7 linked regions of the Macaca mulatta genome follow. The protein of the gene in region 4 interacts with the protein of the main gene of each other region in a biochemical or structural test. Links are inferred from orthologs where the notes say so. Each region holds a gene or a part of one and is shown on either strand. Other genes may lie near its edges.

What was found.
Region 1: the proteins of PLCG1 (region 4) and KIT form a complex in vitro, tested with the Homo sapiens proteins (3 studies listed by BioGRID and IntAct, with this or other methods). The link is inferred for Macaca mulatta from reciprocal best matches to the Homo sapiens genes PLCG1 and KIT.
Region 2: the proteins of PLCG1 (region 4) and SOS1 form a complex in vitro, tested with the Homo sapiens proteins (2 studies listed by BioGRID and IntAct, with this or other methods). The link is inferred for Macaca mulatta from reciprocal best matches to the Homo sapiens genes PLCG1 and SOS1.
Region 3: the proteins of PLCG1 (region 4) and LCP2 form a complex in vitro, tested with the Homo sapiens proteins (2 studies listed by BioGRID). The link is inferred for Macaca mulatta from reciprocal best matches to the Homo sapiens genes PLCG1 and LCP2.
Region 5: the proteins of PLCG1 (region 4) and SH3BP2 form a complex in vitro, tested with the Homo sapiens proteins (2 studies listed by BioGRID, with this or other methods). The link is inferred for Macaca mulatta from reciprocal best matches to the Homo sapiens genes PLCG1 and SH3BP2.
Region 6: the proteins of PLCG1 (region 4) and ERBB2 form a complex in vitro, tested with the Homo sapiens proteins (2 studies listed by BioGRID and IntAct, with this or other methods). The link is inferred for Macaca mulatta from reciprocal best matches to the Homo sapiens genes PLCG1 and ERBB2.
Region 7: the proteins of PLCG1 (region 4) and ITK form a complex in vitro, tested with the Homo sapiens proteins (2 studies listed by BioGRID, with this or other methods). The link is inferred for Macaca mulatta from reciprocal best matches to the Homo sapiens genes PLCG1 and ITK.

The regions. Positions count from the first base shown.
Region 1 is NC_133410.1:78,765,787-78,769,286, forward strand, and holds part of KIT (mast/stem cell growth factor receptor Kit), read right to left. Parts: intron 1,962-3,500; coding exon 1,768-1,961; intron 559-1,767; coding exon 452-558; intron 361-451; coding exon 234-360; intron 1-233. UniProt on the Homo sapiens protein: Tyrosine-protein kinase that acts as a cell-surface receptor for the cytokine KITLG/SCF and plays an essential role in the regulation of cell survival and proliferation, hematopoiesis, stem cell maintenance, gametogenesis, mast cell development, migration and function, and in melanogenesis.
Region 2 is NC_133418.1:85,931,113-85,934,612, forward strand, and holds part of SOS1 (son of sevenless homolog 1), read left to right. Parts: intron 1-249; coding exon 250-331; intron 332-1,102; coding exon 1,103-1,225; intron 1,226-1,528; coding exon 1,529-1,632; intron 1,633-2,751; coding exon 2,752-2,974; intron 2,975-3,500.
Region 3 is NC_133411.1:179,163,762-179,167,805, forward strand, and holds the start of LCP2 (lymphocyte cytosolic protein 2), read right to left. Parts: upstream 2,801-4,044; 5' UTR 2,594-2,800; coding exon 2,516-2,593; intron 1-2,515. UniProt on the Homo sapiens protein: Adapter protein primarily involved in signaling pathways within T-cells, as well as other immune cells such as platelets, mast cells, and natural killer (NK) cells.
Region 4 is NC_133415.1:94,021,840-94,025,339, reverse strand, and holds part of PLCG1 (1-phosphatidylinositol 4,5-bisphosphate phosphodiesterase gamma-1), read right to left. Parts: intron 1,138-3,500; coding exon 985-1,137; intron 874-984; coding exon 780-873; intron 637-779; coding exon 589-636; intron 1-588. UniProt on the Homo sapiens protein: Mediates the production of the second messenger molecules diacylglycerol (DAG) and inositol 1,4,5-trisphosphate (IP3). Plays an important role in the regulation of intracellular signaling cascades.
Region 5 is NC_133410.1:2,986,059-2,988,485, reverse strand, and holds part of SH3BP2 (SH3 domain-binding protein 2), read right to left. Parts: intron 2,375-2,427; coding exon 2,266-2,374; intron 2,022-2,265; coding exon 1,966-2,021; intron 1,634-1,965; coding exon 1,552-1,633; intron 956-1,551; coding exon 896-955; intron 1-895. UniProt on the Homo sapiens protein: Binds differentially to the SH3 domains of certain proteins of signal transduction pathways. Binds to phosphatidylinositols; linking the hemopoietic tyrosine kinase fes to the cytoplasmic membrane in a phosphorylation dependent mechanism.
Region 6 is NC_133421.1:64,080,579-64,083,666, reverse strand, and holds the end of ERBB2 (receptor tyrosine-protein kinase erbB-2), read right to left. Parts: intron 2,588-3,088; coding exon of another isoform or gene 2,520-2,587; coding exon 2,422-2,519; exon of another isoform or gene 2,392-2,421; intron 2,282-2,391; exon of another isoform or gene 2,250-2,281; coding exon 2,061-2,249; intron 1,775-2,060; coding exon 1,522-1,774; intron 1,381-1,521; coding exon 1,025-1,380; 3' UTR 501-1,024; downstream 1-500. UniProt on the Homo sapiens protein: Protein tyrosine kinase that is part of several cell surface receptor complexes, but that apparently needs a coreceptor for ligand binding. Essential component of a neuregulin-receptor complex, although neuregulins do not interact with it alone.
Region 7 is NC_133411.1:166,050,683-166,054,812, forward strand, and holds the start of ITK (tyrosine-protein kinase ITK/TSK), read left to right. Parts: upstream 1-1,330; 5' UTR 1,331-1,421; coding exon 1,422-1,559; intron 1,560-4,130. UniProt on the Homo sapiens protein: Tyrosine kinase that plays an essential role in regulation of the adaptive immune response. Regulates the development, function and differentiation of conventional T-cells and nonconventional NKT-cells.

The sequences.
Region 1 (3,500 bases), on a different chromosome or scaffold from region 4:
GAATTGAAGGATCATTTATGTAGTTTCAAAATCAATAAAGGAATTAAAAACAATTTTGTCTAGAGACATTTTCCTACAATGTTCTCTATGCCAAACCTATCAAAAGGGGTGCAATTTCACAGAAAACTCATTGTTTCAGGTGGAACAAAACAAAGGAAGCTACTGGAGTTCCTTAAAGTCATTGTTATGTGTACCCAAAAAGGTGACATGGAAAGCCCCTGTTTCATACTGACCAAAACTCAGCCTGTTTCTGGGAAACTCCCATTTGTGATCATAAGGAAGTTGTGTTGGGTCTATGTAAACGTAATTGTTTCCATTTATCTCCTCAACAACCTTCCACTGTACTTCATACATGGGTTTCTGTGGGGAGAAAGGGGAAAATGGATCACCTTTTAAGAATTATTGTCGGAGTCATTAGAGCACTCTGGAGAGAGAACAAATAAATGGTTACCTGTAAATATTTGTAGGTGAGAATCATCACAATAATGCACATCATGCCAGCTACGATTACAAAACCAATCAGCAAAGGAGTGAACAGGGTGTGGGGATGGATTTGCTCTAAAATCAAACAGAAATGTGGAATCACAAACTTTGGCAGGATGGGATCTCTACCACAGCCACTCATTCCCAAACTGACCTCCCAACTCACAGCCCATGGCAGGAAGCAAAGCTATGTGACTCTCAGAGCTTCACCTTGGTTACATCGTACTCTTGTTATTCAAATGAATCTTTAAAAATATAACTTGAAACCAGAATACTGCAGAATAGAAGTTGAGATTTCTGTAGAAAAGGAATAATTTATGCTGTTTTTCAATGAAAAGCAACATCTGAATGCACTTTGTACTTCAATCAAATCCCTGCCTTGTACAACTTTTAAAAAGAAGCTTCCTTTATGGATGGTTTATATTTTCTTCTTTACACTTTCCTGTATTTTCTAAATTTTCTACACTGAGCATGAATGTCTTTCACAACAAAAAAAAAACACCATTTTTAAGGTATGCTTTTCGTTGCCCCGTCTGAAAAATCGATGATGTAGAACAATGGAAGATTCTTCCCCTCATTACTCAAAACCTGAGAAAATACGCCACTTTTTGGCACTAGTCTTTGCTGACTCAAAAAAACAAACAAACAAACAAACAAAACAAACAAAAAAAACACAAAAAACAAACAAAACCCAAGAAGGCCTAAAAAGTAAGTGCCCACTTTCTTTGTCTTCCCACTTTGTACCAATTCAGCAATTTGCCCACAAGGAACTTTTAACTTATGTTAAGAGAGTTAGTCACACATGAATCAAATTTTAAATATTTTAAAGAAATAACTTGCTAACATGACTTCATAAAGGCAGTGTTAACTTTTGGATACAGTGTCTGGCAAAGTGTTAAAATAATTCACTTTAAATAATTGAAATTTTTAATTGAATTTAAATGTTAGATTGTTCTAATTCTGTTTGGGTGTAAGGTAAATATATTCCCCCCCATTTGCTTTCTCTACCCCTTTTTAATGGAGACAATTGTAAATATACAACTAATATAAAAGAGGCGCACATACATATAAAATATATAAAGTAGCATGGTTAAAAGTGCTCTGGTAAAAACATATACTTAACAAGCTAGTACAAAATGAAACATAGCGAGTTTGATGACAGTATGGTGTGATGTACGTATTACCAGAAATGACATGGTCAATGTTGGAATGAACTTAAAATCATGATTGATATGGTAGACAGAGCCTAAACATCCCCTTAAATTGGATTAAAAAGAAATATACCTTTGTTGTTACCTTTAAATGCAAAGTTAAAATAGGCAGAAGTCTTGCCCACATCGTTGTAAGCCTTACATTCAACCGTGCCATTGTGCTTGAATGCACTAGAATCTATGGAACTCTGAACCACTAGTTTTCCAAACGGTGGCCCAGATGCGTTTAGTGTCTGCACATCCACTGGCAGTACAGAAGCAGAGCATCTAAAGGGAAGAAAACAAAAGCCCAGGTTTACTCTAGGAAAATAAATAAATACATAAGACCCTTGGGACGTGGCACACTTTTAAAACAAAGTTAGAGGTTCATAATCAACAGAAAATGTCCTTTTACAAGTGTCTAAGAATAAGCACTTTGGTGACCTAGTGAGTGAAAAAAGCACTGGGGAAGAGAAGAAAGGGCAGAGGAGGCTTTGGAGTCAGATGTGGGTTTGAATCCTGATGAGTTAAAGACTGAGTTTCTACCACTGTAAAACGGGGATGGTAATACCCATTGCAGAGGGTTACTGAAAGGACTGGAAAGGAATTCAATAAAATGGCAGGCATATATGCTGGTACACAGCAGATCCCTAAAATAAACAAGCTTCAAAAGGGTACATGAATGGTTGAAAATAAATAGCATAGAGGAGGAAATCATAAAAAATCTTCAAGGGACTGAGCGCAGTAGCTCACACCTATAATCTCAGCACTTTAGAAGGCCGAGGCGGGCAGATCACCTGAAGTCAGGAGTTCGAGACCAGACTGGCCAACACAGTGAAACTCTATCTCTACTAAAAATACAGAAATTAGTTGGGCGTGGTGGCAGGCACCTGTAATCCCAGCTACTCAGAGGCTGAGGCAGGAGAATCACTTGAACCCAGGAGGCAGAGGTTGCAGTGAGCCAAGATCACTCCACTGTACTCCAGCCTGGGCAACAGAGTGAGACTCCGTCTCAACAACAACAAAAAAATCAAGAATGTAGACCAGGAAATAGTCAGAGTGATGACCGAAGTGTGAGTTCTAAGCAGGAAGGCCTAGTTGTACTGCAAGTGGCTGAGACCACCACTGCAAGGGATCTTTTCATGAGCCAGACCCCAACTTCCCTATTCTAAACACCTAGCTATTTCCTGTTTCCCTTCTTAACACCTACATACATTCACTGTTTATTCCATCTATTATGTGTCTCTACCCACTAGAACAAGCTTGTCCCACCTGCAGCCCACATGTGGCTCACAACAGCTTTGAATGCGACCCAACACAAATTCATAAAGCTTAAAACATTATGAGTTTTGTTTGCAATTTTTGTTTTAGCTCATCAGCTATCATTAGTGTTACTGTTTTTTATGTGCGGCCTAAGACAGTCGTTTTCTTCCTATGTGGCCCAGGGAAGCCAAAAGATTGAACACCCCTGCACTAGAATATAAACTCATAAAGGCAAAAAGACTTGGGTATGTTCTGTCCATTAGAACAGTGTCTGGTACACACTCGCCACTCCCTGTGTATCTACTGAATTAATGCCTGTAACTACAGGGCTTGCTTCCGCTGTGGTCATTCCTCCCAGGGGCTCCTTAGTATTCCCCAAAAGAAAACACTCTTGGAGCAAGATGGCCGAATAGGAACAGCTCCAGTCTCCAACTCCCAGCACGAGCGACACAGAAGACCGGTGATTTCTGCATTTTCTTTTTTTTTTTTTTTTGTTGAGACAGAGTCTCGCTTTGTCGCCCAGACTGGAGTGCAGTGGCCGGATCTCAGCTCACTGCAAGCTCC
Region 2 (3,500 bases), on a different chromosome or scaffold from region 4:
TGACTTTAAGATCATCTTGTCAGTGTGCAGAGGGCAAGAAATAAGTTGATGTAAAGTTTTAATATCAATGTTTTCACCACTAATTTAGGAGGCACTAAGCTAGCAGTGCATTACCAAGCCCAGTCTGTTTGTCAAAACATTTTGGAACTTTTAAACTTGACTATTTGATCTATTTTGAAAATGTAAATAATAGTTTTAATCATTTTGAATCACATAGTTTAATAAGATATTTTTCCTTTTTCTTCTTAGATCCCAATTTTGTTCGGACATTTCTTACAACATACAGATCCTTTTGCAAACCTCAAGAACTACTGAGTCTTATAATAGAAAGGTCTGTCCATTTAAAAAATATTTAAATTCATTATTTTTTGTTAAAAAAGAGATTAAGCTAAGATCTTATGTTTTTCAGAAATGTTAGATGAGCTTTAAAATATACTTCACGAGCACTTTTTCAATAAATAAAATCTCTTAAATGAACATTTATTTTGTTAGCTTTTATTATTTCAATACAAAAATTATTTTTTGTATGTGAAAACTCGGTATTTGAAATTTCAAATTTACAGAACGATCTATATAAAATTTATAATTTAGAGTTGAGAAATTCAAATTTTGATGAGTTAGATGTTCTAAGTAAGTTTTCAAACATACTTCATGTTGAGTAAAATGGAGCTTGTCAGTGAACAAATACTGTGATGGAAGGAAAATATTTCATGTATCCAAACAAAGAGCAGTCAGTTTTTCTGGAATTACCCTTAACAGTGATTATGTCACCTGATTTAGAGTAATTCCACAGACCAAAAATGAATATCAGTCCCATAACTTTATAGTCACATTTATTTTTAGAATTTGCATGTATTCTTTATTTTGTTTGTAGTTAGTTTTATCTATATTGGCAAGTACTAATTTATTTTAAAATTTTAAAAATAATTTTATTAACCTTTAATATTATAGAAGTCTCACTTATTTACACTGACATGCATATTTTTAGTAATTTTTTACAGTATTCTCTTGATTTTGCTGACAGGTGGAAACATTTGTGGTTTTCTATTTGTATAACTCGATATAATTAGTATTTTCATTAATTTGTTCTATTTTATGTTAGGTTTGAAATTCCAGAGCCTGAGCCAACAGAAGCTGATCGCATAGCTATAGAGAATGGAGATCAACCCTTGAGTGCAGAACTGAAAAGATTTAGAAAAGAATATATACAGCCTGTGCAACTGCGGTAAGCATTAAATAAATGAAGCAAATAAGTCTTTATCAAACTTTCATTTTAGTGTTGAAGTATATAAGGACCTTTCCCAAACAAGGAGCGGGGTGACAATAAAATTAATAAATTAAATTTACTAATTATAGCAGTTATCAGAAATTATAGTGTAAGTCTTAATGTAGAATTTTGGAAGTGTTAGGCACCCTGATAAGAATAACTTGGTAAGAGTTACTGTGTTTTCATTTGTATTGTACCATGCATTGTGATAAACATTTATGTTTGATTCCCATGTAATTCAATTCTGTGTTAATGCTGTAGAGTATTAAATGTATGTCGGCACTGGGTAGAGCACCACTTCTATGATTTTGAAAGAGATGCATATCTTTTGCAACGAATGGAAGAATTTATTGGAACAGTAAGAGGTATGTTTTTTTTTTTTAGGTGCTTAGTTTTATATGTAATAAAAGTACCAACACGGTGACTATCAATTGATGTTATTGTGGTTCAGTAATACGAGATGTTTGTAATAGTACCAGCATAACCATTTGAAAAAGTTAAAAATTTTCATCAAACAACATTTAGACCTGCAAATTGCTCAACAGTCACCCTGTTGATCCAATGTATTTTCATTTACTGAATCAACTTACTGATTATTTTAAGAGTTGGTTAAGCCAAGTCTTCATACATATCCCAAAGTATGAGGGCGTTTGGGAATTACGTTGTGCCATTATAACACCACTGATGGAGGTCGAGTGGGCCACAGGTGAATAGAGAGAATCAGAGAGGAAGCAGAGTGGATTAAATTGAGAGTTTGTGTCTAACACTACCACTGATCAGATATGTGACTTTGGGCAAAATCACTTAGATTCTTTAGACTTCAGTTTTCTTATCAATAACATGAGGAGCTAGGTTTGTTGATCTCCAAGGTTTTCCTTCTAGTTTTAAAGATTATATGAGTGTATAGCTCTAAGGATGTCTTAGACAAACTTATTTTTATTTCCTTTGTATGCTCTAAATGATAATCAGAAAATAGTTAAATAATAGTACTTTAAATGTACAATACAAAACAGAGCCACATCAAAACTCACACTAAAAATGAAGGAATCAGTCCTCTGGCACTGATATTTATTGGTTTATAAAATGCAATGTGAATTAGATTAATAGTGTGTATAATCTATCCTTATAAATCTTGTGATTTACATAAGATATACCTTTTGGAGGATTATAAAATAATACATTAAACTGAAGATCAGAACAATGGGGTGGACAGTCTCTACAAATTAAGTACTTTCTAATTTTATTTGGAAAGGATCTGGAAGAACACGTGCCAGGCTACTAACAGTGGTTACCCATGTGGAGAAGAGTAGTAAGATTAGGATGGGGGCCGGGAAATGGAAAAAGGGAACTTGTATTTTTCATTTTGATCATTTGAACTTTTTATAGCAAAGATACGTTCAGGTATCATCTGTGTGATTTTAAACCATTTTAAAAATATTAAATAAAGAATATTTAAATGTTATTTAAAATATAATGTATTGCAGGTAAAGCAATGAAAAAATGGGTTGAATCCATCACTAAAATAATCCAAAGGAAAAAAATTGCAAGAGACAATGGACCAGGTCATAATATTACATTTCAGAGTTCACCTCCCACAGTTGAGTGGCATATAAGCAGACCTGGGCACATAGAGACTTTCGACCTGCTCACCTTACACCCAATAGAAATTGCTCGACAACTCACTTTACTTGAATCAGATCTATACCGGTATGTACTTTAACATTCAAGCTGAAAAATCATTTCAAAAGAGTGAATTTTTAAAATGAAATACTGATTTCTGCCTTACAGGGTTGTCCTAAGACTTAACTGAAATCGTACATGAAGTGTCTAGTAATGAGGCCAGGCAGGCACTTCCTGTTCTTTCACTCCCTTGGTCCCTCCAGCTGAATTTACACCTTCTGTCTTTCTGTGGTCACCCCTAGTTGGTAAGGCTAGGTTCAAATCCTGGCTTTACTAATTGCTGACCCTGGGCAACTTTAACCTCCTTGTGTAACTTTATCCTTCTGCCCCTTATTTTCCTCAAGAGTAAAATGGGGCTACTGATAGTACGTACTCCTGGGGCTGTTTTGAGGTTTGAAAGTCAATGTATGTACATTACCTAGCACAAAGTAAGGGCTCAATAAATGTTGGCTACTGCTTTATTGTGAACTTATAGCCATTATAGTCTTTTTTAGTTTATCATACTACATTGATATAATTATCTCAAAAATGTCCTTCTGATTTTAAATGGGGA
Region 3 (4,044 bases), on a different chromosome or scaffold from region 4:
CTAAGGTCACACAGTGTGCTGAGATACCAGCTGGGACCCCACCTGGGATTAGGACACATAGCTCTGAGCCAGTGCCTCTCCACTGCATGACCCAAAGATGTTCTCCTGCAAGTCAAAAGGAATTGGACAGATTGAACAAATATACAACATGGTCTCAGTCCTCAGGAGCTTATATTCCAGACACAGGATGAGGTACACATGTCAGAGACAAGAAGACACAAAATCCCACCAGTCTGCATTGGTGTCCCCAGCTAGGAGCCAGTTAATAGAGAAGGAAAAAGGGCAGATGGAACATGCATTAGGACCCATCTGTCTGCTGAATGCCTTACACCCATCATTTCCTTTAATCCTCACAACCAGCCCATGGAGTTAGTTACTGTTCGTATCTCTATTTCACTGATGAGGAAGTTGAGGCACAGAGAAGCAAAGCAACTATGGGAAAGTCGCCAAGCTAGCAGGTGGCAGAGCCAGGGCAAGGTGTGTCTGACTCCAGAGCTGACTCAGGAGGTATCTCCAAGGGAGGCATCTCCAGGAGAGGTCGGACCCCACTACTTGGGTAGAGTTTGCATCTGCAGATCAATCCTTTACATGTCATGATTGATGGCTGAGATCTATTCCTAAAAAACTCTGCAGTCCATTCATTTGGTATTTTCTTTCAGGGGGCTGAGGTACTCAGAATCTGAAGGGTTTCTATCCAAGTCTGTGGAGAGACTAGGACTTCCAGGATCACAGATTCACCTCAGTCTCCTAGTTTCTCCCCTCAGTCCATTTATGCCAGAAGAAGGAACCTGCTTGGATGCCATAGATTTGTCCTGGGGTCTGAGATATCCAGGAAGAAAACTCTCCCTTCCCCCAGCTCAGGCACAGACGTCTTCCGATACCGTCCCTGACCCATGGTCCATCTCCCTGTACTGACGGGAGTTTTAGGGATCAGTTCTCTGTTGCTCAATTGGGCTGAAAGTCAGGCCTGTCTGTGCCTCTCAGCCCATCTCAAGTCTTTCTCTTCATAATTCTCAATTCCTTTCTTTTTCCTTTACCAAGGTAACATGCCACTTTATTCCCTCTTGGCAAGTTTTACCTTGTTGCCCTATCTTGTTTGGTCTATATTTGAGAAAGATATTAGAAACAACCTTCAAAAAACCAGCTGTGCAACAATATTTGCTGAAACCTAAGTTTATTATGACCTTGCAGAAGGAAAATAACAGAAATGAAAGCACTAAATATGGCAAAAAAAAAAAAAAAAAAAAAAAAACAGGATCTGTGAGCTGCACCCCTACCATACCACACCTAGTTTAACATGTTCGCATTTTCTTCTTCAGATTGGGGTAGAACAGCTGTGACTATAAATGCCTTGGAACTGCGTAGACTCCAGGTTTGGCTATATGTCCTAGGGAACCTCGTCTACCCACTTGAATCTCAATTTCCCCAGGAAAAACAGGAAGCTGAGTTAGATGACTTCTACCATCTTAGCTTTACAATCTCATCTTTATGACAGTCTGGAATGTCAACAGAATCTGATGCCAGCCTGCAGGGATGAGGTGTTAGAAGCTTAAATGTCTCTCACAAGGCATCTTACCGCATGGTCAGGGTAGGGGGACACTAACTAAGTCATGTGGCTTGAGATCTGCCCAAGCAGATGTGTCGTCCCCTTCTGCCAGTGACCAAGCACAGGGATCCTTCAATCTTTCCTCTAAGCCCAGAAGACAGGACAGCAACATTCTGATCCCAGGACTGCCACAAGCTTCTTCCCCTCTAGGGGCCTCAGTTTTCATAGCTATAAATTGGGGCTTATATCAGTTTTCTGGCCTGCTTCACAAGACTCTCATAAAGCTCCAAGGAGACTCTGCCCCAAGCAGGAGCTTGAGGATCCCCCTCAGGGTTGTGAGCAGTGAAAGCCTAAATGCCGTGTCTGGCACCTGCTCATCTTAGTCCTCTAACCTACCGTGTCTGGCACCTGCTCATCTTAGTCCTCTAACCAGCCCTCCCACCCTGCCTATTCTTTCTCCCGCCTCCAGGACGCCATGTCGCCCCTTTCTAGTAAGGAGCGTTGATCTCATTAGCAGTTGCAACAGTTCTCTGCATCTCAGAGCATGGACTTTAAAACCAGATAGGTGTGACTTGAAACTTGCCTCTATCACATGTGGTCCCTAGGGCTTCGGACCATTTCAGTTCCCTGAGCTGACTTTACAGCTGAGTCAAGGGGATAACAATGCTGACCTCACAGGAGAGTAGGGAGCATTAAATGGGATGGTGCCTGTGAAACACTGAATTCAAACCCTAGCACATAATAGGCACATACTCTTTTGAGGGCTCCTGCTCACATCCTTCTCTCCAGAACTCATTGCCAGGAAAACTCAGCGGTCTATATGGCGCTCACTCAACCAGTAAAGTTGCCATAGGGTTCCATTGCTATCTTATACACCTCCCACATTCTGCCCCAATTCCATTGTCAAGCCTCAGTTCAGCCCACGAAGGGCACTATCATCATGACCACTCACACGAGAGCAAGGCTCACCTTCTTGAAATAGTCAGCAAGGCTGTCAGGGTCCCAGCCCAGGACCTCTGAGCGAAAGGGTACATTCCTCAGTGCCATGGCTGCTCTCCCAGGAGGAAGCTCACAAGCTGAGCATGAGCGCTGCACCCATGGGCAGAGAAGCTCAAATCCAGAGCTCGGAGGCGTTCTTGGCTCTTCCAACTCCCTGCTACCCTGTGGAACACCCTTGTTGGAGCCGATGTCTTTTCTGCCGTAGCCAGATCCCAGAAAGCAACGACTTCCTCTGCGAACAAATATGGTCTCTTCTCAGAAAACGACTCAGCTAGTTTCCTTTACCACTTCCTCTGCTGGGCTCTAAATAAGTAAACAAGGAAGCCCAGCTCTGGGGGCTTGAGATGCAGAGACAGCCCCAGGGTTGGTAATTCCCCACTGACTCCAGTCACTCCAACCCAGTAGGAGAGGCAATGAAGGGGTCTTAAACTCCGATGTGAGTTCGAGTATTTTTCCTTTAAACTCTGGGCACCCATATGTCTACACTGCATTCTTGCTCAGCGGGGGCTTTGCAGACCAAAATCTATGCTGATGGTTGACCTGAAATACGGACAATTTCCCACATCAGTGAACTGCTGGAGCGTGGTCTTTTAATGCTTTCCAACCACCTTCCCCTCCCACCATCAAAGACTGGGATTCTTTCAGCTGCCTATTTACAGTTGTCATGAGAGGGTCCTCAAGGAATGAGTGAGTCAGATACCCAGGGCTGAACAAAGTGCTGCACTGTGCAAACAGGGCTCAGTTTCTTATGTGACTGTTTCTGTGCTATGCAACCTTAGGCAAGGACTTAAAAGCTGGGAATCTCAGTTTCCAAATCTGTATAATAGGAAAACAGTGATTCTTCATATACACATAAAACTTAGATGCATTTAACTAGACAAACCTAAAAAGAAAAATTAAAAATAAACTTAACGATTGCTATTGATAGTGTCATATATTCCATTCACGATTGTTTCCACAGTATATTTTATTCACTATTGATTCTGCCATATATTCTAGCCAAAGAGCACATTCCCTGGAGATAGGAGGTGAGAATCTGCTGTTTTCTTAGTTTCAGACATTGTTTATTTCTCATAATTGAACAACTTATTGGCAGAGGGTGAGTCCAGTGTGTAAAAGCAACTATATTTGTGCAATAAGGCAACCTCTAAACATAAGTTACTACTTCATCTAATGCTACACACACACGCGCGTGCACACACACACGCACACACACAGAGTCATCTGTTCCAAGGCTGTTGCCCTTACTAAGTGATGCTATGTTGGTCCTTGAGGTGGTGCCTCCCTGAGGGTTTTCAAGCATAGCTTTGGCCATGCACAGTTTCTGTCTTATACACACACTGAGGAGCCCCACAGTCACTGTAATGCACTGGCCTCACAAGCTGGTGGGTAGCTTAAATGAAATACACATTTTACTCCAGGCCCAGCACCAACTCATCAATGTGAGCTGGTGTTAGCCTCACCTTAGAAGGTGCTGAGGGCATCAGTGAAGGTAGCCC
Region 4 (3,500 bases):
TCCAGCCACTTCCTACCATTACCATCATGATCCAAGCATTCTCATTTTTCACCTGGAGTGTGGAAACAGCTAACTGAGCTCTCCACACAGCAGTCAGAGTGATCCTGAGTAACCCATCAGGTCACATCACTCCTCTCTTCAGAACCCTTCCATGGCTTCCCATTTCTTTTAGGTCAAAGGATCTCACCACGGTGCAGCACCCACACCATCTGGTCTTTGCTCCCCCTTCTCTCCTTGGCCCCTCTGGCTGCCACACCAGGCCTCAGAGCCATAAGCCTCAGGGCACCCTTCACACACTACTGGCCACCCTCACCTCCAGGACACCCAAAGGCAGTTCTACATACCCAGTCTCTGCCCATAGCGGCAGGGCACACAGCATGTGGCTGGCTCCTCTCACTAGCTCACACCAAGGCCACCAGAGGACTTTGTGCAGAAAGCTACACGTGGCAGAACCTGCTGCCCACCGCCCTGGCCCCGCTTAAGGTCCCCTGGGTCCTCTGGCTCTCCAGGCAGCTACTTAGAGGCCTGGCTAAGGTTCTGGATGCCCATCCCCACCCTGCTGGGCTAGAGTCACAGCTCAGTACTTACCGATCCTCACGATTCCGATCCACTGAGTAAAACTGCTTCCGGAGCCACCTGGAGAAAGAAGCCTGAGGTGAGGGCCACTTCTCTATCTACGGCCAGGCCTGGGAGATGCCTGGGCACACAAAGGGACTGCTGTTTCTGTCCCCCTGGTCCCTAATGCTCCCAGCCCTAACCCCTTCAGGAGTGGTTCTTACCTCTCAATCTGCAGGGGTGTGGGTGCCTGCAATGTATCCTCCATCAGCCAAGTTAAGCCCTTGATCCACATGTTCACTTCATCCTCAGATGTGGCTGTGAGCATGGTATCATCAGCTGCACCGAGGGCACATACCTCCCACTGGGCAGGAATGAGCGGGCAATCCCCTAACTATCCCCTACCTTCTCCACCCCCTTGACTCCCACCTTGCAGGCTCAGCGTCTTCAGACGGAATTCCATTCCATAGAGAATGACAAAGCAGTGTGACTGGTCCGGCCGGAAAGCGGGGTCCTCTTGATAGCGATCAAAGTCTCGTGAGGTCTTCCCTGGGCGAATCTCCTTGATTTCTCGAATATCAACTAGGAAGGTAGCAAAGAGGCCAAGATCAAGCTGGGCTCTCCCAGAGTCAATACTGAAAGGAGGGCAGCCTAGTTTCCTCATTCTTTTTTTTTTTTTTTTTTTTTCCTGAGATGGAGTCTCGCTCTGTCGCCCAGGCTGGAGTGCAGTGGCTGGATCTCAGCTCACTGCAAGCTCCGCCTCCCGGGTTTATGCCCTTCTCCTGCCTCAGCCTCCTGAGTAGCTGGGACTGCAGACGCCCGCCACGTCGCCCAGCTAGTTTTTTGTACTTTTTAGTAGAGACGGGGTTTCACCGTGTTAGCCAGGATGGTCTCAATCTCCTGACCTCGTGATCTGCCTATCTCGGCCTCCCAAAGTGCTGGGATTACAGGCTTGAGCCACCGCACCCGGCCGGTTTCCTCATTCTTACACTGTCTTTCAGGGAAGAACCCCAGAGGCAGAGCCAAGACCACTCAGTCACTCTGGGTAATAAGAGGGCTGGGTTGAGTCTAGGGATAGGCCTTTGCTAAGTAAGGGCTGAGACGTCAGAGAGGGCCATATGGGGCAAAGGCGGTTCTGTGGGGTGTCCCTTTCCTATCTTTGTTCCCTCACTGAGACATTTTGACCTGCGAAACAGCTGGACTCCAGAAGGAGAAATAGGGACCCAAGGCTGTTCATGAGGACCACTTCCTGAGACGAGGTACACACCAATCAAATCATAAAGTCCCAGAGGCAGGGCTGGGTAGGTCAAGATGGGCCTCAGGATCCCTGGGAATTAGGCTCAGGCCCAGAGGACTGGTGCATCCCTGAAATGCCTAATTGCTTAAGACATCCCCACACCAGTCTCAGCAAAGGGCCTAATCCCCACTCCATCCCATGACCAAGGCATCGGCTGTCCAAGAGCAACAGTCATCCTGGACCCAGACCACCGTTTTGCCTGGGACCATTTCCTTATCATAGCTATCCAAGGCCCTTGCATGCTCCCTTGGCCTTCACAGGGCATAATCAGAGAGGTACAGGGGCTTGAATAGCAGATGACCTGCCTCAGCCACTGAAACTTGAGACAATGACGAGTTCACTCATCTAACTTCTCAGTCTCAGTTTTACCATCTGTAAAGCAAAGGGTTTGACTGAGTTTCTCTAGAAGGCAGGGTGGTAGAAAAAACATGCACAAGCTCTGGGCGAGACTGGCTGAACTAAAATCCTAGCTCCACCTCACATCTATGTGATCTCAATAAAGTGACAGCCGCTCTGACCTCACTGCTACACTTGTGAAGTGAGTAACATAAAAGAGTAGCATACAATAGCATCAGAAAGATGTTGGTAAGATCAAAAGTTGTAACAGCTAGAAACACTCAGCACTGTATGTGGGGCATGGAGGGAGCCCGTCCAATGGACTCCTCTGCTCCCTCAGCAAAGGTGCACAGGCTCTGATACACTCTCCAGCACAGGGAGGGGCTGCCCGCTGGCCGGAGGGCAGACATTTCAGCCCAGAAGTCACCAATTTAAGGTAGATTAGGTCAAAGGAAAAAAGCTTGGCTTAGCCAACAGCGATGACTTTCTTTGAGTATTCCCTAAGCTCTGAAGCCTCTTGAAATGCTCTAAACCCAGACTGGCCTGGTAACTTTGGAGCCAGATGCAGTGCCAGCATTTGCCTGGCCAGCCCCCACCCCAGGAGCCCTTCCAGCCCAAACTGCACACCAACCTAGCTGGAATGTCCTAACAGCCCAACTCCCCCAGATGCTCTCTTCTTGTCCTGTCCCTCTAGCAACTGCCACAGAACTCCACATCTATCCCACCGGGAACAGTGGGCATTGCTCCTGGCCCTAACCCTAGATCCCTGACACACTCCTGGTTCTACCTGGAACCACCTAACCCCTCAGCAAACCCCTCCAGCCTGTCCTCCAGCTGAGAATCCTGCCTTTCCTGCTGTTTTCCCTGCCCCCGGTTCTCACCAATCAGCCATCCTTCCCCAGTCTTCTGGCTCTTCATAAAACATTATTCTGACCCCCTTAGACCTCATTTAAGCCCCTCCCGAGGCTGCCCATTGCCAGTCTAAGGAAAACAAACATCTTCTATGGCCTTGAGGGCTCTTTGTGACAGGGCTCAGGAATTTACCTCCCCAGCTTTTGCCCTCTCACCCTCTCTGCTCCATCCCCACTAAGCCATACCTAGGGCAAGAATAGCTATTGCTTCCTATCCCTATTTCATCTTGATTCCTAGTCTGGAAATGTCCACCTCCCAGGCTCCCTTCTCTTTCACCAAGGGCCCAACTGAGAAGTTCCTTCCTGTGGTACTCATACACTTGATGCCTCTTGTATACAAACATGTACATACATTGCTCATACACCTAAGGCCAGGCAGGACCCCTCCAGGGCTTGCTTAA
Region 5 (2,427 bases), on a different chromosome or scaffold from region 4:
TCTCCCTCTCACCTCCTCGCCCTCTCACCCCCTCGCCCTCTCACCCTCTCGCCCCCTCACCCTCTCGCCCCCTCACCCTCTCCCTCTCTCACCCCCTCACCCTCTCCCTCTCTCACCCCCTCACCCCCTCTCCCTCTCACCCTCACCCTCTCACCCCCTCTCCCCCTCACCCCCTTACCATCTCCCCTCTCACCCCCTCACCATCTCTCCCTCTCACCCCCTCACCCTCGCCCCCTCTCCCTCTCACCCTCTCCCTCTCACCTTCTCACCCTCTCTCCCCCTCACCCCTTCACCCCCTCTCCCCCTCACCCTCTTACTCCCTCACCATCTCCCCTCTCACCCCCTCACCCTCTCCCTCTCACCCTCACCCTCTCCCTCACCTTCTCACCCTCTCACCCCCTCACCCTCGCCCCCTCTCCCTCTCACCCTCTCCCTCTCACCTTCTCACCCTCTCACCCCCTCACCCCCTTACCATCTCCCCTCTCACCCCCTCACCATCTCCCCTCTCACCCCCTCACCCTCTCCCTCTCACCCTCTCACCCTATCCCTCACCTTCTCACCCTCTCACCCCCTCACCCTCGCCCCCTCTCCCTCTCCCTCTTACCCTCTCCCTCTCACCCTCTCCCTCTCACCCTCTCACCTTCTCACCTTCTCACCCCCTCACCCCTTCACCCCCTCTCCCCCTCACCCTTTCACCCCCTCACCATCTCCCCTCTCACTCCCTCACCCTCTCACCCTTTCTCCCTCACCCTCACCCTCTCACCCTCTCACCCTCTCCCTCTCACCTTCTCCCCTTCTCACCCTCTCACCCCCTCACCCCTTCACCCCCTCTCCCCCTCACCCTTTCACCCTCTCACCCTCTCATCCTCACCCTCTCACCCTCTCACCCTCTCACCTTCTCAAAAATGCGATAGTTCCTCACTTTGTTGGAGGCTTCATCCCATACAACCAGGACCTACAGGAGGGAAGCAGGAGGCTGACGGCTCCCTGAGAAACAGCGGAACCAGCCTCGGGAGACCGTGGGCTGGGGATAGCGGGGCAGAACCATCAAGGCTGGGTCCTGTGGCCCTGGGGGGGTGGGGAGGGGCTCCAGACCACCTGCATAGATAGGGACAGCGGGGACGACACTGGCAGCCCTCAGAGAGCCTCTGATGAGCAGCAGCTCATAACCACCAAAAACCACCCCGACACACCCGGGAGAGCATGGCTCAGGGAGGCCACAGCTTCACGCTCGGAGGGACACGGGCAGACCGGGCGTTCCCACTGCCCCATGTGGCCTCCCCCACCCCGGAGCATGAGCCCTACCCCGCCCGAGTCCTGGCCCCCACTGGGAGGTGGCCATCATCGCCCCCAATTTGCAGATGGAGATCTATTAGGGAATAGATTAGGGGGTGCTGCTGGGCAGAGAATTTAGCTGAGACACCAAGTAAGAGTCCACAAGGGGAGTGGTCTAGGAACTGCGGAGTCCTGGGCCCGCCCACAGCCTGGGTATGTGGAGAGCCAGAGAGGCCAACCGCATGGGGCCTCGGGGCATCTACCCCTGGCGCCTACCTTCCCCGACTTGGTAGAGGAGTTCCGGATGCAGTAGAGTCCATCCTGGGGCTCTCCCCGGGGGCTTGTAGCCTTGAACAGCCTAAAATAAGACAGTCATATTGGCATGTGAGCCCTTCTCGGGCAGCTTTCACAGGGACTTTCCCGCCCCGCTCCCAAGCCCGGCTTTCTGTCCTCTCGCTGTTGTATGTCTCAGGCGCTGAGTGTGTCGGGCTGCCGTGAAGCTGAGGGAAGCAGCCCAGCAGAGCCCTGGCCAGCCAGGGTGCCAGCTGGGCATGGGACACAGCAGGGGGGTCCAGTCCTCTGGCTCCTTCTGCACGCAGGGCCATATACCTGTGCCAGCAACTCCCCAACACAGAAGCTAGTGAGAGGGACACAGCGGGGGACCCAGGGCATCCAGGGCTTTGTGCTGACCTTTCCACTTCGCAGGATTCCGTGGTGTTGATGAAGACCGAGTTGGGCAGCGGCACCTGCAAGAGGCTGACGGTGTCAGTGCCAAGGTCGGAGCGATCCACCCACACCACCACTCCCCGGACCGCGGCCACCCAGTGCCAGGATCTGGGGCTTTGCATGGTGCTGTGTCCCCCCTAGGCTCCCGGGTTCTCGAGGGGTCCTTGCTCAGGATGGTCTGTGAGGGGCCACCCTGGCCTATGGCTCTCCCACCACCTGTCCCTCTGCTGGCCACTGGGACCTGGGCTTGCTGCTCAGCCTTGCCTTCTCATAGTCCTCGTCCGAGTCGTCCCCGCCAGCATCAGCCTGCGAGGGTTGCCGGGGCTTTTCAAATGAGAAGCTCCTGAAGCTCTGCCCATCGGGAGGCGATCGCCTGGAAGGCGAGGCAGGGAGACAAAGGCAGGACCATTTCACTGTCAGACACGG
Region 6 (3,088 bases), on a different chromosome or scaffold from region 4:
TGTACCGCCAGGGTGGCTGTGCTGGCTTGGGTGGGCTTTCTGGACAGCTACTCCTTAGGTCAGTGAGCTCCTCTGGCATAGCCAAGGCAAGGAAAATGAGTCCCACAGTAGACCCTGCCTCGTCTTTCGCCCACTCAACCGCCACTCTCCTGACTCACAAGGAGGAAATAACCCCATTCTGGTGAGTGGCCTTAGGAATTCGTTCTAAGAAAGAATGATCTGGTTGTTAAAGGGCTCTCAGATCCGAATCCAGCTTCCCGATCCCCCCCAACCCTGAAGCTAGAGAACTGGATGTCAGGCTCCTCATCCAAGCTTTCTGAAGATTCCTGGTCACTCCCTCCAGGAAAAGAGGAGTTGAGTGTAAGGTGAGCAGGAAGGGATGGTGCAGAGCTACCCCCAGACATAGGCCGGTGCCTAACTGTTCTCCAAAATATATTTGCAAATGGAGAAAGTGGGTGTGGAGAAGGACCCCCCACATCTGCCTCCCCATACAACACCCATTCTCCCCCTGGGTCTTTATTTCATCTTTAAAAAACAAAACAAAGTAAAAACTAAACAGAAAAGCACTCTGTACAAGGCCTGGATACTGACACCATTGCTGCTCCTTCCTCATGGGGGGTAGTACTAGGTCTCAGGGACAATCTCTGAATGGGTCGCTCTTGTTCTTAGACACTCCCTTAGGGCCACTTCCCCTCTCAGGCCAGCTTCCCTAAGGCTTTCAGTATGCAGGATCTGGAAGGAAAGGGCCAGGCTGGGCTGTGGCATCCACTGGACCCTAGAGTCTCATTGGGCAGGGCCCCAGAATCCACCAAGACTCCCCAGTGCTGTTCCTCTTCCAACTAGGCTGGACCCCTTCCAGCCATCTGGGAACTCAAGCAGGAAGTTTCCTTAGGACAGGTTCCGGGCATGGCAGATTCCTCTGGAAGTGGTCGGAGGGCCCGCCCGCCTCTTGATGCCAGTGGAAGTCAGGCCTTCCCTGCTCCCTGAGGACACATCGGGGCTTCTGCGGACTTGGCCTTCTGGTTCACACTGGCATGTCCAGACCCAGGTACTCTGGGTTCTCTGCCGTAGGTGTCCCTTTGAAGGTGCTAGGTGGAGCCCCCCGCTCTGATGGGTCCTGGTCCCAGTAATAGAGGTTGTCGAAGGCTGGGCTGAAGGCAGGAGGAAGGTGGGGCTGAGGGGCAGCTCCTCCCCGGGGTGCCAAGTACTCGGGGTTCTCCACAGCACCCCCAAAGGCAAAAACGTCTTTGACAACCCCATTCTTCCCTGGGGAGAGAGTCTTGGGCCTTTCCAGAGTGGCACCAGTAGGTCGGGCAGGAGACAGAGGGCCCTCTTGGGGCGAAGGGGGCTGTGGCCGAACATCTGGCTGGTTCACATATTCTGAAAGGCCAAGAGAAGATGACCTATTAGGGGAAGGAACCCCGGTGTCGCTGCCACTCCCTCTGCCCCCACAGTGGACCCTGGGCTGAGGGTCCCCCCTACCCCGCCCATCAGTCTCTCCGCTTAGACTGGACTCCATACCGGGCTGGGGACTGCAGGTCAGGGGGGCAACGTAGCCGTCAGTCTCAGAGGGCAGGGGTACCGTGGGGTCCTCACTGTACCGCTGTAGAGGGCTGGGGTCATGTGCGGGGAGGCTTTGCAGCCCCTTGGCTGCCCCCATTCCTAGGTCACCATCAAATACATCAGAGCCAGTCCCTTCGGAGGGTGCCCGTGGAGACCTGGGGGCCTCCTCTTCAGAGGGCTCCAGCCCTAGCGTCAGGTCCCCACCGCCACTCTGGGGACAAGAAAGTAAGTCATGATGGGAGTCACTTAATGGATCTGGGATGGGGACTCCATGGGAAGTGACAGGGTCACAGGAGAAAAACAGGTCACCTTTGGGGTACGACACAATCACCGTGGAGAGAATGGGGTCACAGAGGTTGGAAGGCAGTAAGAATTTTTTGTAGGGATAATGGGGTCTCCTTGAGAGGTGACAGTTGAGGGAACATCAGAGAAAGGGACCCTAGTCCACCAGGGATGGAGGAGGTAAGCAGCCACACAGTGTGACCGAAGGCACTGACCCTGGTAGATGAGCTGCGGTGCCTGTGGTGGACCATGCCCCCAGTGCCCGGGGCAGGGTCTGGACAGAAGAAGCCCTGCTGGGGTACCAGATACTCCTCAGCATCCACCAGGTCCCCCATGTCATCGTCCTCCAGCAGTGAGCGGTAGAAGGTGCTGTCCAAGGGACTGGCTGGGCCCAAGTCCTCATTCTGCGGAGGAAGGAGAGGTGGGATGGTGGCCCCTCCCCAGCTCAGCATGCAGCCTTCCATGAAGGCTCATAGCAGGTGAGGGGCCTGACACACCGGACTCATCTCTCCTTCCCACCCTCTGCAGGAGGGTGCTCTTAGCCACAGGCAGGGATGGGGCACAGAGGCCCAGTACCTGGATGACCACAAAGCGCTGGGGGTCCCTGGCCATGCGGGAGAATTCCGACACCAACTCCCGGAATCTCGGCCGACATTCAGAGTCAATCATCCAACCTGGGGCAGGAGGGAGGCCAGCATCTAGCCCCGGCCCTGTGTGCCTGCTGCCTCCCCTCCCACTCCCGCTGCAGTCTGGTCTAGACAGTCCCAAGGGACAGCCCAAAGCCCTTGGTGGTAGAGAAGTAGTACCAGACTCTGGGGGCTTCAGCCAGAACCTTCGGGCATCTCTACTAGTTTCCCTTTTAATTTTTTTTTCTTTTTGTTTGCTTTTTTGTTTTTTTGAGATGAGGTTTCACTCTGTCGCCCAGGCTGGATTTCAGTGGTGCAATCATAGCTTACTGCCACCTTCAGCTGGGCTCAAGTGATCTTCCTGCCTCAGCCTCTCCCGAGTAGCTGGGACTACAGGCACACACCACCACACCCAGCGAATTTTTTTATTTTTTGTAGAGATAGGGTCTCACTGTGTTGCCCAGTCTGGTCTTGAACTCCTGGCTTCAAGGGATCTTCCCACCTCAGCCTCCCAAAGTACTGGGATTACAGGCATGAGCCACTGTGCCCAGCTTAATATTGTACATAAGGTTCTCTAGTTGTTCCTCAAGAGTGGCTTTGGACTTTGACTGTAAAAG
Region 7 (4,130 bases), on a different chromosome or scaffold from region 4:
TTCAGTTGACCAGAAGACAGTCATATAACTACACCTAGCTACTAGGGAGGCTAAAAATTGTGGTCTTTATTCTTGATGGCCAGATGCCCAGAAAACCATCAGGGATTCAGTCAGTTACTCTTGTATGAAGGAGAGAGTAGATATTTGGGAAAAGCAGCAATCCCTACCTCAAGCCCATATTCAGGGAGAAAAAAAAAAAAAAGATCTTGTTTGAGCAGCGTATTTTCACACATATATCTTAAAATCTCAGAATAGGGGAGATCATTTAAAATATACCTGTACCCTACCCTCCTGAGTGTCTTGATTATGCTGGGGCATCCAGTATATGAAATAAAATAAGGCTGTTGTCTGGTAATTTACATTTAAAAATAAACATTGGAGAATTTCACTCCTATACAGCAAGAATGATTGTTTCATTTATTATTTATCACTACCCAGTACATGCCATCTCTGCTTACACTAAAATCTCTTGATTATTAACATGGTAGAGATAAATGCCACACATTATTTTTCAACTACGTACTAACTCTAAGGCAACATGCATGACTAGCACCCACCATTTGTAAGAGGTATGGGATTCAGTCCTCCAAGGGACCCTCACAAGGAAGCTAAGGATCAGAGGAGGCACAGCTTGCTCAAAGAGAAACAGCTTAGTAAGTGACAGATCTGGTAATCCAACACAAGTTTGTTTGTTTTTAAAGCCCATATATACTTTGTTTATTATGCCATTCTGAAGGATTCGCTTATTTTTCACTGTTTCACAAAATGTCAGGACAGAAAGGCAATCATCTATATGTAGCATTGAGAAATTTCTGTGGGCTTTAATTTAAATCTTAAAAACTAATAAACTTCAGCAACATATTTCTTCATTTTAATGTGTGAGGGGTTTGTGCTCATTACCTCTTTTAATTGTCAAACCCAATTTGGCGAAGATCCATTCAACAAATTTTTCTTAAACATGTTTTTTATGTGTCAGGCACTGTGATGGTTGCCGAGTATATCATGGTAAGCAAAACCACGCATTGTCCTTACCCCTTGTGCTACACGTTTTAACTGCTGGATGGATTGGATGGATTAAACCAGGAACTATAAAGACTAAACTGTAATCCTTACCATAATTTTGAGTCTACAGTTTTTCAAATATCATTTTGAGCCATATAGCAAAGGCTGTATGTATTTTTTACATATGCTTCCTCGTTTTGTGAATTTTGAAAGGATGTGGTTATGGCCTTTGACATCAGAGGAGACGCTCAGCTATGTTGGCTGAATGTTGATAGAAAGATAACGTTGAAGGCAAGTTGCCCTTGAGCAACTCTCTGAAGATCAACTGCCTCCACATTGCATTCTTTGCCCCAAAACTCTTCCCTTTGGTTGTGCTGAGAGGTGATGCCCAAGGTGCATCACGTTTCAAGAACTGGATCATGAACAACTTTATCCTCCTGGAAGAACAGCTCATCAAGAAATCCCAACAAAAGAGAAGAACTTCTCCCTCGAACTTTAAAGTCCGCTTCTTTGTGTTAACCAAAGCCAGCCTGGCATACTTTGAGGATCGTCATGGGGTATGTGAGCAGTTTCATTTGTCTTTTTTCGCATAGTATTTTATGTTTGGACTGGGCTAATGCAAAAGTATATACATAGCATACAATAGAATACAGGAAACACAAACATGCTTGTTGTAACAACATAAAAAGTACAGTAAAAGTAACCAGAGGAGAATGCAGAGAGCAGTCAAGAGGTGAAATGGTGGTGCGAGGCAATTTCAGTTCTAAAAACTGGAAATTTAATATTCATCAGCTTTTTCCCCGTGCAAGATTATGTTTGATTTTTAAATTATTAATAACATTTTAGGAAGCAAGTATTATGATTCATTAAAACTTGAACTTTCTATGAAACATACCAAATTTAATGAAACATACTAAACTTAATGAAACATACTAAATTTAATGAAACTTAGATTAATACAACATTAGCATTCGATGGGATGATCTACCCCAGCTTGCTTATTTTTAGTGGAAGAAACTGGTGTTTAGAATGGTTAAATTTGGGGTTCCGTGTTAACGTTTTCATGAATAACTCTGTCTGTCGCAATACTCGTCACTTGCCCAATCTTGAAATAAGATTCCCCAGGCATTTAATTGTCTAAAAGTTGTAAGGCACAATGGCAAGCCTCTTCATCTCTTGGTAGACTTCCTAGGACACCAGGTTTATTAAGAACAAAGTTTCTGCAGTGCAGACCAGCAGTTCTTACCCAGAAGAGTATGGCTGCTTAGCTAGGTCAGTCTGTCTCTGTATCTCAAAATAGTCTCATGCTTCTTTAAGATCAGTAATAACAAAAGCAACAGGAATAATCCTAATAATGTAGTTTGGCAGAAAAAGCATTGGACAAAGGGTCAGGAGACCAAACTACTTCTCAGTAGGTGATCCAATCTGGACAAATGTCTACCCCCTATTTCAGGTTCTTTCTTTATCAAAGGAAAAAACTGGAAATAACAACCTTCAAGATCCCTTTCTTCTTTAAAACTTCTTTGCTTTATGCAGTGGCTCTTGTTTAGCCCTATGCTGCAATTTTTCAAAGCGTGTTTGATTCCTTACTGTATGGTTATATTATTTTTACATCATTAGTGGGGTAGGACAAAGATTATCACTTATATTTTACTGAAGGGAAAATAATATTAGGTGCCTGATGGTCACTTAGAAACAAAAGTGCTCTGATTCTTTGTTGGAGTCTGACTTAGTAGCTGGAGGCATGAGTTTGGGATTCTTTGGCGTGCCAGGCTTTAAAGCATTTCATGAGGTGGAGCTCCAAAGGAGGTCAGGCTGGGTATAGAGTCTATGGATGCCTCACTTTTTAAAGTTGCAGGTGTTGCATGTCTTTGATGAATTACAAAAAAAAAAAAAGTTACAGGCAAAATAGTGCTGCCTCTTTAAAAGTGAAAAGAATTGCTTGTCTTGTTATCAGACTCTTACTGATAACAATTTACCAGTCAATCAGAAAACACATGGAATTATGTGCGAGGCCTCTGCCAGGTGGCCAGGAGCCCAGTTTGTGAACTTGGGGGATTTATCATGTAGAGCTAATAAATCGCATGGCATTACTCAATGCTTTTTTGTGAATGGAACATTTAAAGTTTTTGTTTCATATTGAAAGAACAGTCATGTACCTTTAAATATTTTTTTCAAAGCCCATTTTACAGTTTTCACCAGTTTGTTTTCCTGATTCAACATAGTATCATCTTATTTAGTTAGTACTAATAATTCTTTAGCCCAATTGTTATTTATGAACTGTTTGTGAATTCAGCTCAATATTATTTGCAAATAATCACAGAACCAGATGGCCTCAATTCAGAATTTTATTGGTCATAATTTGCAAGTAGACAAGGTTGTAAAATCACCCTACTTCTTTATCTGAGCATTATGAAAAATTCCAAGACAATTACTTCATTCTGGGGAGCCCTAGGCTGTAGTTTCTGATACTTCCATGTAAGATACAGAGAATACATGTCCAAACATCAAATTTCTTGTTTTCTAATGCCTTTTTTGCACTTATAAATAACATTTTTAAAGTATTTCTTTAATTATTTAATTATTATAGAGATTGATTAATTAGAAATTTATCCAAGGTCCCTGAAACAGGTAATATATGTGAGTTATTATCGTCCATGTCTTATGTATACTACATCGTTTAGGGCCACCAATTTGTACACAAGAGTGCATTAATATTACTCATAAGTAAATAACATTACACCTGTGGGAAGAACATTTTCATTTTTAAATTAAAGCCTTCACTTTCAATCTGTAAAATGGATGTGATACTAGTACCCATTTCATAGGAAGAAGGCAAAGACTCAGAGGTATAATGTCTTTAGGCTGAACTTTTTAAAATTATTTGGCAGGTCGAATATCAGGTATTAGAAGTCTCAAACAATTCAACTTAATGTTAGGTACTTAGCATAGGCCCTGCCATCTGGTAAGCATCTACTAAAAGTTAACCATTGTTTGTAGCCCTTTCACATCTCTACAGAAGCTAGCAGGGTGTCATAACAATTCATTTTCAAATTATGGGAGATATTCAAGGATTCTCCAAAATCAAGCTAAGATCAGGGTCCTGGATTCCTTCTATTCTGTGGCAA